4 linked regions of the Arabidopsis thaliana genome follow. Each later gene encodes a partner of the first gene's protein in a complex. Each region holds a gene or a part of one and is shown on either strand. Other genes may lie near its edges.

Evidence for each region.
Region 2: JAL33 (region 1) and BGLU21 share a complex: the UniProt entries of both Arabidopsis thaliana proteins name them as parts of the PYK10 complex.
Region 3: JAL33 (region 1) and GLL22 share a complex: the UniProt entries of both Arabidopsis thaliana proteins name them as parts of the PYK10 complex.
Region 4: JAL33 (region 1) and AT1G54010 share a complex: the UniProt entries of both Arabidopsis thaliana proteins name them as parts of the PYK10 complex.

What each region holds. Positions count from the first base shown.
Region 1 is NC_003074.8:5,586,679-5,590,644, reverse strand, and holds JAL33 (Mannose-binding lectin superfamily protein), read right to left. Parts: upstream 2,354-3,966; 5' UTR 2,159-2,353; exon of another isoform or gene 2,076-2,158; 5' UTR 2,053-2,075; coding exon 1,858-2,052; intron 1,674-1,857; coding exon 1,218-1,673; intron 1,105-1,217; coding exon 853-1,104; 3' UTR 560-852; downstream 1-559. Other genes in the region: MLP-300B (myrosinase-binding protein-like protein-300B), read right to left, coding at 3,104-3,355, 3,578-3,966. UniProt on the Arabidopsis thaliana protein: Sugar-binding protein showing significant affinity for (Glc alpha(1-4)Glc)(3) maltohexaose, (Glc alpha(1-6)Glc)(3) isomaltohexaose, Gal alpha(1-4)Gal beta(1-4)Glc, GalNAc alpha(1-3)(Fuc alpha(1-2)) and Gal beta(1-3)(Fuc alpha(1-4))GlcNAc beta(1-3)Gal beta(1-4)Glc.
Region 2 is NC_003070.9:24,699,310-24,704,923, forward strand, and holds BGLU21 (Glycosyl hydrolase superfamily protein), read right to left. Parts: upstream 3,858-5,614; 5' UTR 3,687-3,857; coding exon 3,522-3,686; intron 3,320-3,521; coding exon 3,250-3,319; intron 3,133-3,249; coding exon 3,077-3,132; intron 2,990-3,076; coding exon 2,914-2,989; intron 2,747-2,913; coding exon 2,669-2,746; intron 2,579-2,668; coding exon 2,491-2,578; intron 2,402-2,490; coding exon 2,149-2,401; intron 2,029-2,148; coding exon 1,913-2,028; intron 1,835-1,912; coding exon 1,617-1,834; intron 1,510-1,616; coding exon 1,475-1,509; intron 1,391-1,474; coding exon 1,288-1,390; intron 1,197-1,287; coding exon 1,088-1,196; intron 1,009-1,087; coding exon 801-1,008; 3' UTR 559-800; downstream 1-558. UniProt on the Arabidopsis thaliana protein: Beta-D-glucosidase active on scopolin >> esculin >> 4-MU-glucoside > DIMBOA-glucoside. No activity with pNP-glucoside, oNP-glucoside and sinigrin as substrates.
Region 3 is NC_003070.9:20,153,595-20,158,377, forward strand, and holds GLL22 (GDSL-like Lipase/Acylhydrolase superfamily protein), read right to left. Parts: upstream 2,927-4,783; 5' UTR 2,772-2,926; coding exon 2,513-2,771; intron 2,189-2,512; coding exon 2,070-2,188; intron 1,839-2,069; coding exon 1,370-1,838; intron 1,283-1,369; coding exon 954-1,282; 3' UTR 560-953; downstream 1-559.
Region 4 is NC_003070.9:20,158,089-20,162,474, reverse strand, and holds AT1G54010 (GDSL-like Lipase/Acylhydrolase superfamily protein), read left to right. Parts: upstream 1-1,610; 5' UTR 1,611-1,727; coding exon 1,728-1,986; intron 1,987-2,277; coding exon 2,278-2,396; intron 2,397-2,750; coding exon 2,751-3,219; intron 3,220-3,307; coding exon 3,308-3,621; 3' UTR 3,622-3,886; downstream 3,887-4,386. Other genes in the region: AT1G54020 (GDSL-like Lipase/Acylhydrolase superfamily protein), read left to right, coding at 17-269, 375-670. UniProt on the Arabidopsis thaliana protein: Involved in the control of the PYK10 complex size and possibly substrate specificity. May be exported from the endoplasmic reticulum upon interaction with MVP1.

The sequences.
Region 1 (3,966 bases):
ATGATGACTTCTTTTAAGCTTAAAAAATACGTTATCACACTTTGAGTTTGAGCACGTCGAGCCTACTACACTCGTGAGACGTGTGTGGATCAGATCAGATCAGATCTCCTCCTTACGCGGCTGATCCAATATAAAAATATTGTAAATCAATTAGAAAGATGGAAAAATCCAAGATTAATATATTGCAAACTGAATTTCAAAAAGGGAAAATTCCAAGATTAGCATTACATGGGCTGGATCAGTTGATTGGTAAGGCCTAAATGCCAAATCACTAAAAGTTAGGACGCAATCTATCCCAGGTTTGCCAAAGCCGAGCCAAATTAATACATTCCAACAATCCTTTTTTCATATACTTTCATTTTTTTATCAGTATGATCATGACCACCCAATTAACCAATTTTTACTTACAAAACCTAATACTATTTTCAAAAAACTTTTATTTATACCTAAACAATAATGAACTTTAATCTATGATTATATGATCTATAGTCCCCATGTAATAATTGGACTTCATTTAAACATATTAAACATATATTCGCGGGTCTTTACCTAAAACAAAATTAATTCAGTAAAATGTTAATCTGAATACGCTAAACACACTTGCAGTAACTTAATTTAGTATGGATCGAACGTTGTTCACGATGGGACTTAATGTGCAATTTATAGGGATGGAATCAACCACCTTTATTCAAATCTATCATACGTAACATTATATAAAGACCAACATCACAAAAGAGAACGCTTAAAAACATTTAAACATAGATAGGCATAACCATCATAGGTATAACAAGTTATTTTCAAGAGATCACATTAACAAGTTCGATGGAAGCGAAGGAGGTAGCTGTAATGTGATCAGTTGGTGAGTGGCATGACATGGACTCCAAACTGATGAAGCAACTCACTGGCTTTTCCATGGAAGCCAACGATCTTGTGCCCTTCCTCTTTAAGTTCGAAGGCTGTGCCAGCTTCAAGTCCAAAGGGAGCAGACGTTTGTTTATTAGTCTTGAACCTAAGCATAGTTATGATTAGGCCATCACTCCCAAAGATTTTATCATAGGTGCCTTCAACTGCGGTGATGTATTCACTTGGATAGTCAATCTCAAACTGCAATTAAAGGATTTTAAATCATATAGATCAATCTGCTTACTGTCAATTAGTTTTAAGAAAATGAAAAGATACAACATATTTTGAATTTTGATAGCAAAAACAAAAAATACCTCCTCGAATCCGAGTAAAGTAGGCTTTCCATGTTCACCTCCTACGATATTCTCCGCGCCTTTGTTGTACTCAAACTTAACGGCTGATATCCCATCTTGGCCTTGTCCTACGTACACCTTCTTGACACCATCGTACGCACCGTCGTCCCATGCAGTTCCTTCATCACCACCAATTGCAGATAGTTTTTTGGCAGGAGTCACAGGAGTTGTGGTTGTAGCAAAATATGCTCCAAGAGCATATAAAGCTTCACCAGCGCGTCCATGGAAGCCAACAAGTTTACCACCGTTTTTGTCCTTGAGTACAAACTTCTTTTGCGTTTCCAATCCATAGGGTGGAGATGTTTTTCCCTTGAATGTATTGAAGGTAATAGATGTGATGATGTCAGAGTCTTGGCCAAACACGTTGTCGTAGGTCACTTGCACTGCTACTATGTAGTCGTCTGCATCAACCTCAAACTGCAATGATCGAAAAGATACCTCTCGTGAGTAGAGATGTTGTATAGATTAACTCAATCTAGACCGTATTAGGTGTGAATTGGTCTAGTCTTAATTGGTTCTCATTTTACAAAGCTTTAAAACTGATCCGAACAAGGCTAATAAGTTAAACTCAAAGAGAGTGGTAGCAAACACCACTACATACCGTTTCAAATCCAAGTAACGTTTTCTTTCCGTGTTCACCTCCTTCAACATCCTGAGAGTCCTTCGCATACACGACGTTGATAGATGACACACCATCTTGGCCTTGCCCTACATGCACCTTTCTAACGCCATCGTGGACACCATCATCCCATGAAGCTCCTCCGGCGCCACCCCCTGCTTCCACTTTTTGAGCCATCTTTTTGAATATTAATTAGTTACCTGTACGTATTAGTAGCGTACACGATTAGTTTTATTAACCAAACTCTACAAAACTATTATCAGACGAGAGACTGAGAATTTACCTGAGGAGAGAGGGAACGAGTTATTGATATGCATTACAATGACCTTCATGCGTATTTATTGATTATTTTTATTTCTGGATAAAATGTGTAATTATTGATATCATTGAATGTAGGCCACTAATTAATCTATAGAAATGTTAATATAATCTCGTGATCCACGAGTCATTAAAATATTAGAATGTTGTGAATATGAAGCAAATAAGTTGAATTGGAGTAGTTGATATTACTGATCTGTAGTTTTTTTTCCCTTTTTTTCCTTTGCTCACATAATACATGTTTTTCTCAACAATAGTTGTTGATCAAAAAAAAAAAAAAATCAACAATAGTTACAATTTTTGAAACCTGGTTAGATTTTACCCGTTATCCAATTGCTCATATGGTTTATATATATATATATATGTGTGTTTTAATATTATTTGATCATTACATAATTAACATATTATATTTCCATATATATTCTTAAGAAGAAAAATATGTGTTTGAAAAAAAAAAAAAATTAAACATACTGTATAATAAATTAAATCTAGATACTAAGTGGAGTGTACCTCCTTCGAAACGGACTGCGCGTAGTCTGGTGTTGGATTTTGATCAAAATGACCAATTCTCCAATTATGGCGAAGTTTTCTTGTTTCTCACTTTAAATAATGCTAAAGTCTTAAAGATAATTGTTTCCATCATACACTAGATGCCGAGATACTGAGTATGAATATAAGCTTTTCTCCTAATGTGCAACTGATATGTATAATAATCACCCACTTTTATTAAAGCCAATCACATATAATATTACAGGCATAACAACTTCACAAAACACCATACTTAAAGACACTTAAAACATAGATAAACAGAACAAGAAAAATTAGAAAACTTAAAACTTAATGAAGATATCACACGTGACAAACTTGGTGGTATAGAAGAGACATATATATATATATATATATGTGATGATCAGTTGGTGACAGGAAGGATATGGACTCCAAACTGATGAAGCACCGCACTTACTTTTCCATGAAACCCGACGATCTTGCAACCTTCTTCTTTGAGTTCGAAGGCTGTGCCAGCTTCAATTCCAAAGGGAGGAGACGTTTTCTTATTAGTTTTGAACCTAAGCATATTTATGACTTCAGTCTCAAAACCAAATATTTTGTCATATGTGCCTTCAACTGCAGTAATATATTCACTTGGATAGTCAAGTTGGAACTGCAATTGATGGAAACCAAATAAAACAATTGAGTTAGTTAAAATATTTTATATCAAAAATGGAGATATTCAACACTAGCTAATATAAAATATGCATGATTTTATCCACGAAAGTTTATGTGGATTCCCTTACCCAAGCATATTTTTGTGTAAGATATTCATATCATTTTGTAAAAACATTTCACATTCAACCACAAGAGAAGAAAGCAAGAAGTATTATACCTCTTCAAATCCGAGTAGAGTATCATTTCCATGTTCATCTCCTACAATATCCTCGGCGCCCTTATCGTACACAAACTTCACGGCCGATATACCATCTTGGGCTTGCCCTATATACACTTTCTTAACACCATCGAAAGCACCATCATCCCAGGCAGTTCCTTCGTCACCACCAACAGCCGGTAGTTTCTTGGCAGGAGTCAAAGGAGTTGTGGTTGTAGTAAAATACGCTCCAAGAGCATATAGAATTTCGCCAGCGCGTCCATGGAACCCAACAAGTTTGCCACCGTTCTTTTCCTTGAGTACAAACTTATTTTCGGTATCTAATCCGTAGGGTGGCGAGGTTTTTCCCTTGAATGTAGAGAAGGTTATGGATGTGATGATGTCGGAGT
Region 2 (5,614 bases), on another chromosome or scaffold:
TTTTTGCTTTTAAAAAAAAAATCTTGAAAATCACTATTTACATAAATCGTTTTTGATAAGTGACTACTAGTAAGATAGAATGTGATGATTTCATTATTAACACATACGTTTGATTGTTTTTTTTTGTTTTTTTTTGCTTGCTAAGAATGAAATATGAATTTCCAAAGTAATGAATGATGTTGGTATTGCATGGTGGATTTATTTGGTTGCATCATGCATGGATTTTATTTCCTTAAGGTATATAGAAAATACGCTTGGCCAAATGAGTGAAAAAGAGATATCTTCTCTTGCTGGTCGTCCTGTTTTTTAATCTAAACTAGTGACTTTCAAAAATAAAATATTAGAACTGTTTGGGAAAATGAATTGCCATTGTTTATTTCATCGCCAACGTTTAAGTTGTTAGTTTTTGAAATGTTTGTACTTAGTTGTTAAGACGACGTCAAATTATTTCCTAATCTATTTCTATGTATAGAGGTAAATTCGTATTTTTAATTTTCTAAAACTAATGATATTTTCTTACATCATTTTGTAACTCATAAATTTTTTAATGTTAAGGTTGTATGATTCAATTTTTCTTCAAGTTTGGAAGGTAAAACATATTTAACTTCACATATTGATTCTCAAAAAGGATAACGTCATTAAAACTAAAGCCTTCTTGATCTTGTCGAATAAGCTAGAGATTGAAGGAAAACGAAACACTTTTATTATTATTAACCACGACTCATGAATCGTGCGTGGTCAATCACAAACTAAAACATAGGAAAAACATCGAATAGAAAACGAAATCCTCAAAATATAACTTAAAGCTCATCCCTCTTGAGTGCGGATGGACGAACACCTTGAGCGAGGAAATCTTTGTAATACTTGGCTGATTCTTTCTCATAACGTGTGAGGTTATTTTTGAAATCGACGTAATAGAGTCCGAATCTGTTTTTGTAACCATCTTGCCATTCGAAGTTATCCAACAATGACCATACAAAGTATCCCGTAACTCTCACCTTATCGATGCTGCACAAACACAATTATGTTCTTAATTAGACCATTCAATAGAATCGTTAGTCAATCTATCAAATAATAAAAGGCTTACCAAATAGCCTCGTTCATAGCCAGAAGATGCCTCTGAAGATAATATTTCCTGTTATGATCAGCAGTACCAACGTCAACCGAATCTGTGGTCCCAAGTTTATCTCCATATCCTAGAAAAAACAACATTATAATGATCAGTATATTACTCTTAAGAGTTAAGATTAAATCAACACACAAATATAACAATAAATCTCGAGTTACCATTTTCCATTATCATAATCTCCGGGTTTGCGTATTTGTCCTTGATGTACTTTAAAAGCTTTCTAAATCCTTTAGCGTAGACGGGCAATGCAGCAGTAAGAGGCTGAAATAAAGCAATGGTGAAAATGTTATGTCGTAGACAAAAATTAACAATCACAAACTAGGACTAGTTTAATCAAACGCTTACCATGCTACCAATGGCGCTGTGATCTACATTCTTAGCTGAAAAATAAAAAGTGAAAATGTATGCATATCAATTAGTATTATAAAACCTTTTATCTTTAGTTTCTTGGTTTGGTTTCATGTACGGAAAACAAAAAAAAACTTACGTTCCCAGGAAACAAGAGAATCTTGCTTCCAACTTGGTTTAGACGGATCTGGCTTCTCATTATAATTTGAAAATGTCGAAGTATAGTAGTTAAGCCCTACGAAATCGGTCGAATCTTTCAATTTTGCTTTTTGTGCAGCAGTAAATTGAGGCAATCTGTAACCAAGAAGGTCTTTCATGATTTGTGGATAATCTCCCGAAGTAGTTGGCTCCAGATGCCTACACAAAATTAATAACTACATTAATTTTTATGAAATTATATACGAGAAACCATTTTCTAACATAATATATACTTACCATCCCAACATAAAGTCAAGTACACGGCTAACAGTTGGAGCGTCATTTGAATCTTTAAGATCATGTGGTTCGAACCAAGCCGGACTATGTGCGATTCCGATTTTCCCACCTTTAACCTATGTCCATAAACACAACACAAAACAACCTATTTTAAGATTCGAAACCTGATAATTAATTGTGATTTATATCTAATGTGACCTGATAATTAATTATGATTTATATCTAATGTAAACTACCTTTTGGCGGAAAACTTCAACAGCTTCTGCGTGAGCGTTGAGGAGATTGTGACTGACTAGATAAGCCTCTTTACCAGATTGTCCCTCTCGGTCTTCGCAACCTGGAACGTAGCGAGAACAACGTCCTGGTGCTTTCTTTCCTAAGTCGTAACCTGCGTGAGCAAAGACCCATGGCTCGTTGAAAGTGATCCAGTTTTTCACTTTTCCACCGTATTCAGTGAAAACATAATCTGCATATTCTCGAAAATCTTTCCTGTATTTTTGCAAAAAAAAAAGATACCAAATTAATAATTTCCATATAAACTTAACTAAATGTATTTTGTTTAATTTACAAAAACATACACAATGTTTTGGCTTAAGAAACCGCCATATTCGTCTTCCAAATCTTGTGGAGTGTCCCAATGGAAAACAGTCACAAACGGAACTATACCTATTTATGACGTAAAATAGAAAGAAATGTTAAATAAGGATACTATATTACTTGTATTTTTGTGAACTAGGTATTTTATATGTATATAACCATTTTTAAGGAGTTCATCGATGAGCTCGTGGTAGAATTGCACACCAGCTTGACTCACTCCCTTCTCCTTTCTCCCATCTAATAAAGCATTACAGTTTGTTTCATTAGTTATTGATACTTCAACATTCACATATACATCATCTAAATTCATTGGTTATTAGTATTATATAACAATCACATAAATCTAATTTCACCAAATTCGATTAAAACAAAATCAAACTAGAGATCTGCAGACATATACTCACGAGGAAATATTCTTGACCATGCGATTGAGAGTCTGAATGCATCTGTGTTTAGATTCTTCATTAGCTGAATATCTTCCTACAAACATTTTTAAGACAAGGCAAAATTTCAATAACATCTCGAGAATATAAGTTATGTTTGTCTTAAATTTATATTAATATATACCTTATAACGATGGAAGAAATCAACGGCCACATCGGCGTGGTCGCCACTACATCTCTCTGTAATTTGAAAGTAATTAAGAAAATTAATGGCTATGTATTGATATTAATTAGTTAAATTTAATTTAATATTTAAACATACTGTATTGAGAATGTAGATTATACGAGTACACTCACCTGGATTTCTTCTACAGTAGATATCCCATAGAGCCGGTCCACGACAAGTTTCATTAATTGCACCTTCGACCTAATGACATAACAAAAAATAGTTGATGAGTTGAGGAATATCACATGCACAAATGATTTCAAATGATAGGTATAACATATTTTGAGCAACTTTTACATAAAAAAAAACCATATTTTAAAAATATGGATTTGAATTCAGATAGAAACACAATAACGACACTACTTTTTGTTTTTTGAACTATGATTTAGTAAATCTGTTGTACCTGAAACGCAGCAGTAGCCGTGCCAAACAAAAACCCATTAGGGAAACTTGCTCGGCTTAGCTTGGAAGTCGCCGGGCAAACAGGATCATCAACCGCTGTTGTCACAGAGACGAGGATGGTTAGGAGCAAAAGCAGCCCCATGAGAGGAAACTTTTGCAATGCCATTTTTGTTTTTAGTTTCTTCTGGAAGAGAACAAGTTTATGATGATTTGTTTACATCCAATCGGAGTTCTTTATATAGCGATTTTGATTGTTTGTTAACGAGTGACTAAAATATAATTGTTTAGTAAAACTATTTTATATATAGGATGATTCATTGCATGACCTCGACCGTTGTGTTCTTACTTAGTTTGGAACATATTATATTGTGCGTGGAACTAATATAAGTTCTTCATCCATTTTGGATTTAATTATTTGATTAGTCCATTTTGGATATCATAATCTCCCAATATGATTATTTGTGTTTCATAATAAACCTTTTTCGGAATAACTCTTATGTACTTTGTCTATGGTTTCGATAATTAACTATGTTCATATATATATAAATATATAATATTGGTGTTTTATATAATTTAATAATTGTATATTATTTATTTGGTAATTTTTGGTTTAAACCACTGTCGCATCTACTGCTAAGCCAATCATAAAATTGCCGTAAATACACATATTTTTAACTGTAAACCAGTCATTTAAAATGTCCGATAACGTTTAAAACCTCAACCAATTACTTCCATTAACTTCCACAATGACAACCACACCCCGTTGCATTTAAACCAACGAAAACCCTAAATAATAACAAGCCTATTTTTGATACTCAAATAATTGGAGACTTTATTATTTTTCAAAACTTAATTGTAAAAACATATTTTTTAACTTGTTTAACGAACATTACTCTTAATCTTTCATAAATCAGTTTCTAATTCGAAAAAAAGTTATACCTTATTCTGAAAAAATTCAGGTAGCAAGTAAAGGATCTCTCATTTAATGTTTGGACTAATGAATGACTAAACTATATGAGTATGTATTTAGTAAGACTATTTTTATAGTATATAGGATGCTTCATGGCACGATCTCGATCATTGTATTATATATAGTTTAGTAAATCTATTTAATAAATAGGATGATTCATTGCATTATCTCGATCATTGACTAATTCTTACTTATTTTTCCTAGTTTGGAACATATTATATTGGGCGTGGAACATATAATATAAAAACGTGACTTAAAAATATATCATGTATGTCCAAAAAAAAAGTTTACAGCATGAGGAGTCCTCGAACCAATCGGCCGGCCCTAAGTCAATGGATCATTTAGTGCCTCGTATAGATCTAGATCGAGTTTTGGATCTTATTTTGTTATGGACGTTAAGTTATTAATGTGTTAGTGACTAAAATATAAATATATAATACAACTGTTTAATAGGATGACTCATTCCATGATCTATATGGTTTACATTACTTTTTTGTTTTCCAATATATAGTCCTCGTGTCTAAAACTCTAAACTAAATTATATCCTCTTTATATTTTATAATTGACACATTTTGCGCGAATAAAAAGACAAATCATTAACTATACAAATATACCATTACTTTATTAGATGATATTTCCTCTATTTCAAATTATATGATGTTTTAGATTAAAACACACACTTTAAGAAATTTATTTTTAATTATAAAATTTGTTCTCTTGATATTAAAAATACAAAATACAAACCAATAGTCAAATAATCAAATAAAATATATTTAAAAATTGCATTGATATTAGTAAAACATCCTAAATAAATCTCTGAAATATCCTATATAATGAATCAGAGTGAGTGTTAAATTTAAAACAAAAATATGAATAAATTAAAGAATAAACGTGGAAGTTTATTTGAAAAGTAAAATTGGAAATTTAAAATAACATGTTTTTTTTTGAAACAAAATAAAAATTCCACAAGAACACTAGTGGTTGTTATACAGAAGGACTATTATTAAATATTTTAAATTGGATGATTTCATTGCACGATATATAAACGTTGAGTTGTTTTTTATTTTTCTAAATCTTGAACGTATAATATTCATCATGCATAAACGTTGAGTTGTTTTTTTTAT
Region 3 (4,783 bases), on another chromosome or scaffold:
GATAAAGGAGAGATAAAGTCAAGATCGGTGTGTTGCTTCAATTATTGAGATTTTTAAATTATACTATTTCAATTTGTATGTTTTAACTTATGTCCAGATTTAGCGTCATTTTTTTCTTATTTAAATAGAAAAAAAATACTTAAACTTATGACCAGATTTAGCGGATGAGATTTGTTTGGTCTTATTATATTTTTATTTTCCTGTCGCTTATGATCCACAAAATCAGATCACTAATGCCCACTATATGTATTTACTGTAATAAAATAATCCCAACTGGTAATGATATTTATTTTCAGTTTGGGAGTATTATATTTTCCCAGCTGGTAAAAGATACTTTATCATATTCGTTTTATAATTATAATTAGCTTATTGTTGGGTCAAAAGAAACCAAAAGGAATTAGCTTATTATTTTAATTCGGTGTCATAAAACGAATCAGTCATATATTTTTACATAATTTATACTTACTCTGTTTCTTTTTGTTTAATTGTTTAGAAAAAAAATTATTTCAAAAATATTGATTTTTTAGATTTTTAATACAATAGTTATTAGTTATAATTGATAAATTGTAAACTTCAATACAAATTAGTAAATATCATTGGTTTAGAGTTATTGAAAATTGTAAATCACAAAAAACAATACATTTAAAAGCAACATTTAATATATTTTCTTAATATTTATGTTTTTTCTAAAAAATCAAACAAAAATGAACAGAAGGAATATAAGATATCGAATAGATTAGAGTAAATCGATAGACTAATGAACTCTCGATAAATTCCAGGACGTGGAAAGAGTTGATAAGATCAATCTTTTATTATAGAGAAAAACTCACTAGAGAAACAGGAAAACATTGCAAATCAAAAACATCAAGATTCCGATTTTGATTCGGTTATAAATTAACTCATGACCATTGTAGAAAACCTGATTGACCCTAAAGATTGAGTTTTAAAAAGACTCAGTAATACTCGTAACCGCGGCTAGTGGACGAGCTAGAGTCGCTGGCGTGGACAGTAGCTGGCGTTGGAGGCACCCAAAATTCACGCATGGGTTCATCGACTGGGTAAACAGTAAGCTCACGGACGTTCATCGGTTGGACAACATTTGTATCGGCTCCAAAAAGAAGATGGGCAAACATTTCTTGCGCCTTCTCGGAGTTGTGACGTCCGTCGAAGAATAGGAAAGACCGTTGGTACTCACATAGCTTCGAATGCACGTTAGGTAAACCGCAACCATAAGCATCGTGAGATCCAACTCCGCAGCACGATGCGTTCGTGACGAAAAACCCTAAGAATGACAAATATTAATGACTTGGTATTAGAAGTTATAAAACTAAAACAAATGAAATTAAACCATGATAATTAACCAACTCACGGAAGTTTTGGTTCCTCTGCGTCCTAGTAAGAACGGCATTGTAGAAATCAAAGACGGTGAATTGGAAAGGAGCTGATGCAGGAGAGTTTCTAGCCATTTCGTTCAACATCGGTCCAATTTTTTCGTTGTGTTGTTTAGCCAAATCGTTGAGTTTCTCATAGCATTGATCCATCCCGGTGTTGTATTCTTGTCTGACGATGGGTAAGCAACCCAATGGAGCTAAGGTTTGGATCACGAATTTACTCGCTCCTGATGAATACAACGCGCTAATATCGTTCTTTAACTTGTTGGTCACGGAAGTAACAAAAGCTTGTTGAGCAGATGCATCAGCGGTAGGGTTGTTCTTGGTGAAATTTAAGTAATCGTTTGCACCAATGTATATCATAAATACTGACTTTGCCACGAAATCATCGTTCCAATTTGCTGCTTTCATTTGATTGAATTTTTTCACTTGTTGATTCAGAGTCATCTAAAGAACCAAAAAAGAGAAAAAGACAAAAATTAAACCAATATTATAAGTGCAATTAAAGTAAAGCTTATTGATATTAAGTCACATGCTTTTCTGTGAAGTAAAACAAAAAGAATCCCGCTTAGTATGACCGGGTCAATAATAGACAGATATAATTGATTTTCTTTGAATTAGGTGTTGACTATAGATATATACATGACTCTTATATAATAAGAAATTAAGTTTACTTACAGATTCCACCGGAGCTCCGAGTAGAGTAGCACCTTCGACGGCGAAACTAGCTCCACGTGAGACATTGACGTTCGGTTGAAGCGCCGGCGCGATCGCGAGCGGAATCTTCATGAATTTAGCTGCATTTTGTATTTTAAAAATATTTTAGTTTTTCATATAATATCAAATCATTCCTTGTACTACATCTCCGAATCTGTTGACGAAAATAATAAATAAAATTTCATAGAATGTGTCCCGAAAAGTGAATAGCCGCTGAACCAATGCATTTATAATCTTTTTTTTAATCATACTATTTACTATTTTTTAAGTAATTCACTAGTAGCATACTTAAAATGCATTTATAAATACTACTGTTTATGATTATTTTTACGTAATCATACTATTTTTAACATACTTAATGTTTTAAAGATTAGAGTAGGATTCGATTAGAAAAGAAGTCGTACCGAGGAAGTCCGGAGTGATGAGGCCGTCGGAGAATTTGCCGTTGGGATCATCTCGAGATTTTCCGTACGGCCAGAAACCTTGAGCGACTAAGGTTTTGGTGAGAGTCTGTTTGTTTCCGGCGTCGAAGTTGGAGTCACCAAAGGTGAACAAGGCGACCACCGGACTATTCTGTCCGGCGACAGTGATGGGGTTGTGAAAGAGGGTCAATACCAAAATTACACATAGAACACTGACTAAATTACAGTTGTTTGCCATCATTTAGAGAGAGGGAGAAACAGAACTGTGAAAAGAGAAGAAGATTGCTTTTGTGCCTTAGCTCGTAGACCGATTCGTTATATTTATATTGCAAGTACTACAATTTGGCAATGAAAATAATAGTTCATTTTACTATACAAATAATAACGTGTAGCGCGAGGTTCATTTTACTATACACCTATTTAACGCACTAGCAAACGATTATCGATCAATTATATTATATAGTTCGCTTAATCACGTCTGACGCATTACTGGTTTCTCTTCTACTTTATTTTTAATTCTCAACAAAATATCTATTGTTACTACGAGTACCAAGAAAGATCGTGCTTTTTTTTTTTTGGTTCAACAACAACTTACAATTACACAAGAGTCTGAATACACATAAGCTTTAACCCAATCCGGCAATATAGAATACAATTTGGGATCATAATTCAGAAAAGAAAGAGATTCCCTAGCAATTCTATCTGCCACACAATTCCCTTCTCATCGGGTAAAAGTCACTTTAACCTCTTCGAAGTGCTGAAAAGATCGTGCATTTAGAGGCAAGAAGTAGAATTAAACATACAAATTTCACGGAAATATAGGGTGTAAATGGTAACACTAAACCAGATTCAGTAATTTCTGCAGTAACCATTTGCATAAAACTAAATTTTGCTGACTAGCCAAATTCAACAAAAAAATTTCAACACCAACATATACGTAGATATGTTTATTTCTGCTAAAACTTTTGGATAATTTACGAGTACACAACTCGAATTAAAATATTTTTAATATCAAAATACATATCAAATAGATATTTTTAAATAAGTCAGATTATACTGATACGATATATGAATAATATAGATACATAAAATATCACTACCAGAATAGACAAGAGACGAATATGTTCGGATAATTATAGATAATTTGGATAATAATTTTAATAACGTTTAGATAACTTAAATCAATTATTAAAATTTTGCAAAAACAACTCATACCTATGCTAAGATATTCTTTAAAAGATAAATTATAGTAATTTCCTTAATCATCCTCATCATATTATTGATTAAATTACTTGAAAACAATTAAAAAAAACAATTAACAATCTATATTTTATCATCATGTTAATTTTTGAAATTATTTTCTTAATAGTGTTTTGACAAAGATTTTCGTTAATTATTTACATATTTTTAATAGTTCAAATTTAAATAAGAAAGAATAACTCAATTTTGCGTTGACACAATCTTAATAGTATAGGTAATAGCTTAGTTATGTATATATAAATTATAAAAACTTGTGGAGAGTTGTTCCTTAAGATTTACAGTGAAGATTAGAGAAGATTAAGTTTTGAGAGAGTGTCTATATCAAATACAGAAGAGTTGGTCCTTATTCGTTTGTAAGTTCTAGTAATTATCAATTTGATTGGAATCATTAGAACGACAGAAAGGTGAACAATTTTGTTTCTAAAAGAGTGCAGAAACTAGATAAAAATAAAACACATTTGCTTACGTGAAGATGAAGTTTTATATGAAGAACGCCTCATTTGTTTGGTTCATCTATTATCTATATATATGATTTTTGGTTTTATTTCATATGAAAATTAACTGTAAATATAGCCGGCCCCAAAGCCAGATGTATAAACTTATCTTTTCTGGAACTTTATAATTTCTACTTTTTATTTTCTTTGTTGCCAATCATTTCGAATATTACCTTGCAAGAATAATTGCAAACAAAAAAAGAGGGTAAAAAAGGTCTCAAATTGAATCCACTACCTTCTTAAATTGATTCCACCAAAATTTATCATTTTGTTCTAATGGAGTGCATGTGGCCCGAAACTTGTCTAATCTGAGCACAAAGCAGGTCATTGGACACGCTTTGGTTCATATTGTCAGGTTTATCACGTTACTCATTGAGATTTTTCTTATGGAAAAAACAGAGTTGAGGTTACATTATTATTTTAAATCTCAACAAATTAATAACAGCGCATTTCAAATTCCAAGAGCTCGTTCATGGTATAGAGATGGAAAATAGTGAGC
Region 4 (4,386 bases), on another chromosome or scaffold:
TAATGATTAATTGCAGTTGTTGTATTCATCTGGAGCTAGTAAATTCGTCGTACACTTGCTAGCGCCATTAGGTTGTTTACCGATCGCAAGACAAGAATTTAAAACCGGTAACAATTGTTACGAGAAACTCAATGATTTGGCCAAACAACACAACGCTAAAATTGGACCGATTTTGAACGAAATGGCGGAAACTAAACCGGATTTCCAATTCACCGTTTTCGATTTCTACAACGTTATTCTTCGCAGGACACAAAGAAACATGAACTACCGTGAGTTACAATTCGCCATTCAAAGTTCCACACTATCATTAATATCGTTATATGCTTTTACTTTGAAGCAAACATTTAATAATACTTGTTGTTATGACTAATTAGGGTTTTCCGTGACGAATATATCGTGTTGCGGTGTTGGGACGCATTATGCATATGGTTGTGGTTTACCTAACGTGCACTCGAAGTTATGCGAATATCAAAGATCCTACCTTTACTTCGACGCACGTCATAACACAGAGAAAGCACAAGAAGCGTTTGCTCATCTTATCTTTGGAGCTGACCCAAATGTTATCCAACCTATGAATGTTCGTGAGCTCATGGTGTATCCTGTTAATGAGCCTATGCGTGAGTTTTGGGAGGATCCAATGGATGAGAAGTTATCGTTAGTCCAATACTAGTGGATCTGTCTACCTCGTTTAGTTCTTGAGCTCACTATTTTCTATCTCTAGATCACGTACGAGCTCTTGGAATTTGTAATGTATTGTTCTTAATTAGTTGCGAAGTAAAATAATTAATACTGTTTAAATCCTCAACTCTGCTTATTTTCATAAGAAAAAAATAATCAATTAATGGGTAATTTGATAGACCTGAGAATATAACCAAAGCATATATATGACCTGCTTTGTGCTCATATTAGACAAGTTTCGGGCCATACGCACTCATTAGAACGAAATGATTGAATTTGGTGGAATCATTTAAGACTTATGGATTTCAAATTACATAACTCACTTGAGTCATTTTATTTACTTTTTTTTTTGTTTTTTTTTGCAATTCTTGTTGTAATGAAATAGTGGAAATGGTTTCAATTTTTAACTGTTCCAAAATTATTTTATAATAAGTGTTGTTTTAGGTTTTAATATAAAATTTTGGTTAAAGTTCCAAATTTTATTTATACTGTTTTAATGTGTTAACTAGAATGAATTAATCATAGTAAAACAATTTTTTTTTAGTTTGTAGTATTTAAAAAAAACGAACACTTGATCTGAAATGCATGGAGTATTTTCTTAGTTACGTTTTCATAGGTGAGAGGTTCCATTTGACATGTTTTTTTATATATTTTATTGAAATATAGGAATATGCATTTAAATCTTCTTCTGCCCTCAATGCATGATCGATCTTCTTGATACTAGTAACAATAAATGTATCTTGAAAATTAAGAATAAATAAAATAGAAATGGGATACCAGTTGTGCATTAACTAGGTGTGTAGAAAAAAGAAAAAAATGAACCTCGAGCAACACGTTATCATATATTCATATTTAAATAACAATATTTTTCAATTGCTAAATTGCTTTTTTCTTAAAAACAATCTTTTTGATAAAAAAAATTCAGTTGCCAAATTGTGTAGTATTTACAATATAAATATAACGTATCGGTCTACGAGCTAAGACACAAAAGCAATCTTCTACTCATTTACTGTTCTGTTTCACTTTCTCTCTCTCTGTATACTCTCTAAATGATGGCAAAAAACTGTAATTTAGTCAGTGTTCTATGTGTATTTTTGGTATTGACCCTCTTTAACAAACCCATCACCGTCGCCGGGCAGAATATTCCGGCGGTGGGCTTGTTCACCTTTGGTGACTCCAACTTCGACGCCGGAAACAAACAGACTCTCACCAAAACCTTACTCCCTCAAACTTTCTGGCCGTATGGAAAATCCCGAGATGATCCCAACGGCAAATTCTCCGACGGCCTCATCGCTCCAGACTTCCTCGGTGCGACATTTTTTTGTTTGTATAACTGAAAGATCTTAATCCGAATTCTACAAAACATAAAACATGCAAAATGATATTTTTTATCATTTAAAACGTTAGTACAAATGACGAGTGTTGGATATTAGTTAATTACTAAAAATAACGGTTAAAATATTTTAAAAATAAAAAAGGTTCAGCTGGTATTCACTTTTCGAAACACATGGATTTTTTTTTGATTTTTTTTCGTTAACAGATTCGGAGATTATATTTGTATTATATGAAAACCTAATATATTTAATGTACAAAATGCAGCTAAATTCATGAGGATTCCGATCGTGATCCCGCCGGCCCTTCAACCGAACGTCAATGTCTCACGTGGAGCTAGTTTCGCCGTCGCTGATGCTACTCTACTCGGAGCTCCGGTGGAATCTGTAAGTCAACTTAATTTCTTACTATAATCATCTTATTCAAAATAAATGAACCATGTCTGTCTTTTATTGACCCGGTCATACATAGCCGGTCCTTAATTTACCTTCAGGTGGCCTTAGCACAATTGGAAGATGGCCTTCTTAATGATATAAAATATATTAAAGGTTTTACCAAATTACTGTTTTTATTTTTTTTGGCGAATGATTTAGTATATATCTTCTGGTCTAAAGCATGTGCTTGACCTGTCTTATGGACTAGCCTGGATCATACTAAACGGCATATTTTTGTTTTATTAAAGACATCTGACTTTAACTGCAATTATAATTTTGTCTTTTTGTCTTTTTTTGTTTTTTTAGTTGACTCTGAATCAACAAGTGAGAAAGTTCAATCAAATGAAAGCAGCAAATTGGAATGATGATTTCGTGAAGAAGTCAGTGTTTATGATATACATTGGTGCAAACGATTACTTGAATTTCACCAAGAACAACCCTAACGCCGATGCATCTACTCAACAAGCTTTTGTCACTTCCGTGACCAACAAGTTAAAGAACGATATCAGCTTGTTGTATTCATCAGGAGCGAGTAAATTTGTGATCCAAACCCTAGCTCCATTGGGTTGCTTACCCATCGTCAGACAAGAGTTCAACACCGGGATGGATCAATGCTATGAGAAACTCAACGATTTGGCTAAACAACACAACGAAAAAATTGGACCGATGTTGAACGAATTGGCTAGAACAGCTCCTGCATCAGCTCCTTTCCAATTCACCGTCTTTGATTTCTACAACGCGATTCTTACTAGGACGCAGAGGAACCAAAACTTCCGTGAGTTGGTTAATTATCATGGTTTAATTTCATTTTTAAATTTTTTTATAACTTCTAATACCATGTGTTTAATATTTGCCATTCTTAGGATTTTTCGTTACGAACGCATCGTGCTGCGGAGTTGGGACACATGATGCTTATGGTTGCGGTTTTCCTAACGTACATTCGAGGCTATGCGAGTACCAACGGTCTTACCTATTCTTCGACGGACGTCACAACACTGAGAAGGCGCAAGAGATGTTTGGTCATCTTCTTTTTGGAGCCGATACAAATGTTATCCAACCGATGAACATCCGTGAGCTTGTCGTTTACCCTGCCGATGAACCTATGCGTGAGTCTTGGGTGCCCCCAACGTCAGCCACCGTTCAACTCAGGGAGAGCCGCGGTTACGAGTATTACTGAGTCTCTAAAATCAATATTTAGGGATCGATCGGGGTTTCTATAAGGGTTATGAGTCAAATTATAACTGGATCAATATCGGAATCTTGAGTAGTTTTAATTTCCAATGTTTTCATGTTTCTCTAGTGAGTTTTCCTCCATAATAAAAGATTGATCTCTGCAACTCTTACCCCTTGCAAATCTTTTATTTAAAAGAAACAAAACTTTTACATAAATTTATTTCTTTTTTTTGTCAACCACATATTAAAAGGTAATTCCATAATTAAAAAAAGAAGGCACAAGAAGCGTTTTCTCATCATCTTATCTTTTGGAGCGGACCCAAATGTTATCCAACCTATGAATGTTCGTGAGCTCATTGTGTATCCTGTTAATGAGCCTATGCGTGAGTTTTGGGAGGATCCAATGGATGAGAATATCATCGTTAGTCCATGACGTCGACGTCGATGCTAGTGAATCTATCTAACTCGTTTAGTTCTTGAGCTCACTATTTTCCATCTCTATACCATGAACGAGCTCTTGGAATTTGAAATGCGCTGTTATTAATTTGTTGAGATTTAAAATAATAATGTAACCTCAACTCTGTTTTTTCCATAAGAAAAATCTCAATGAGTAACGTGATAAACCTGACAATATGAACCAAAGCGTGTCCAATGACCTGCTTTGTGCTCAGATTAGACAAGTTTCGGGCCACATGCACTCCATTAGAACAAAATGATAAATTTTGGTGGAATCAATTTAAGAAGGTAGTGGATTCAATTTGAGACCTTT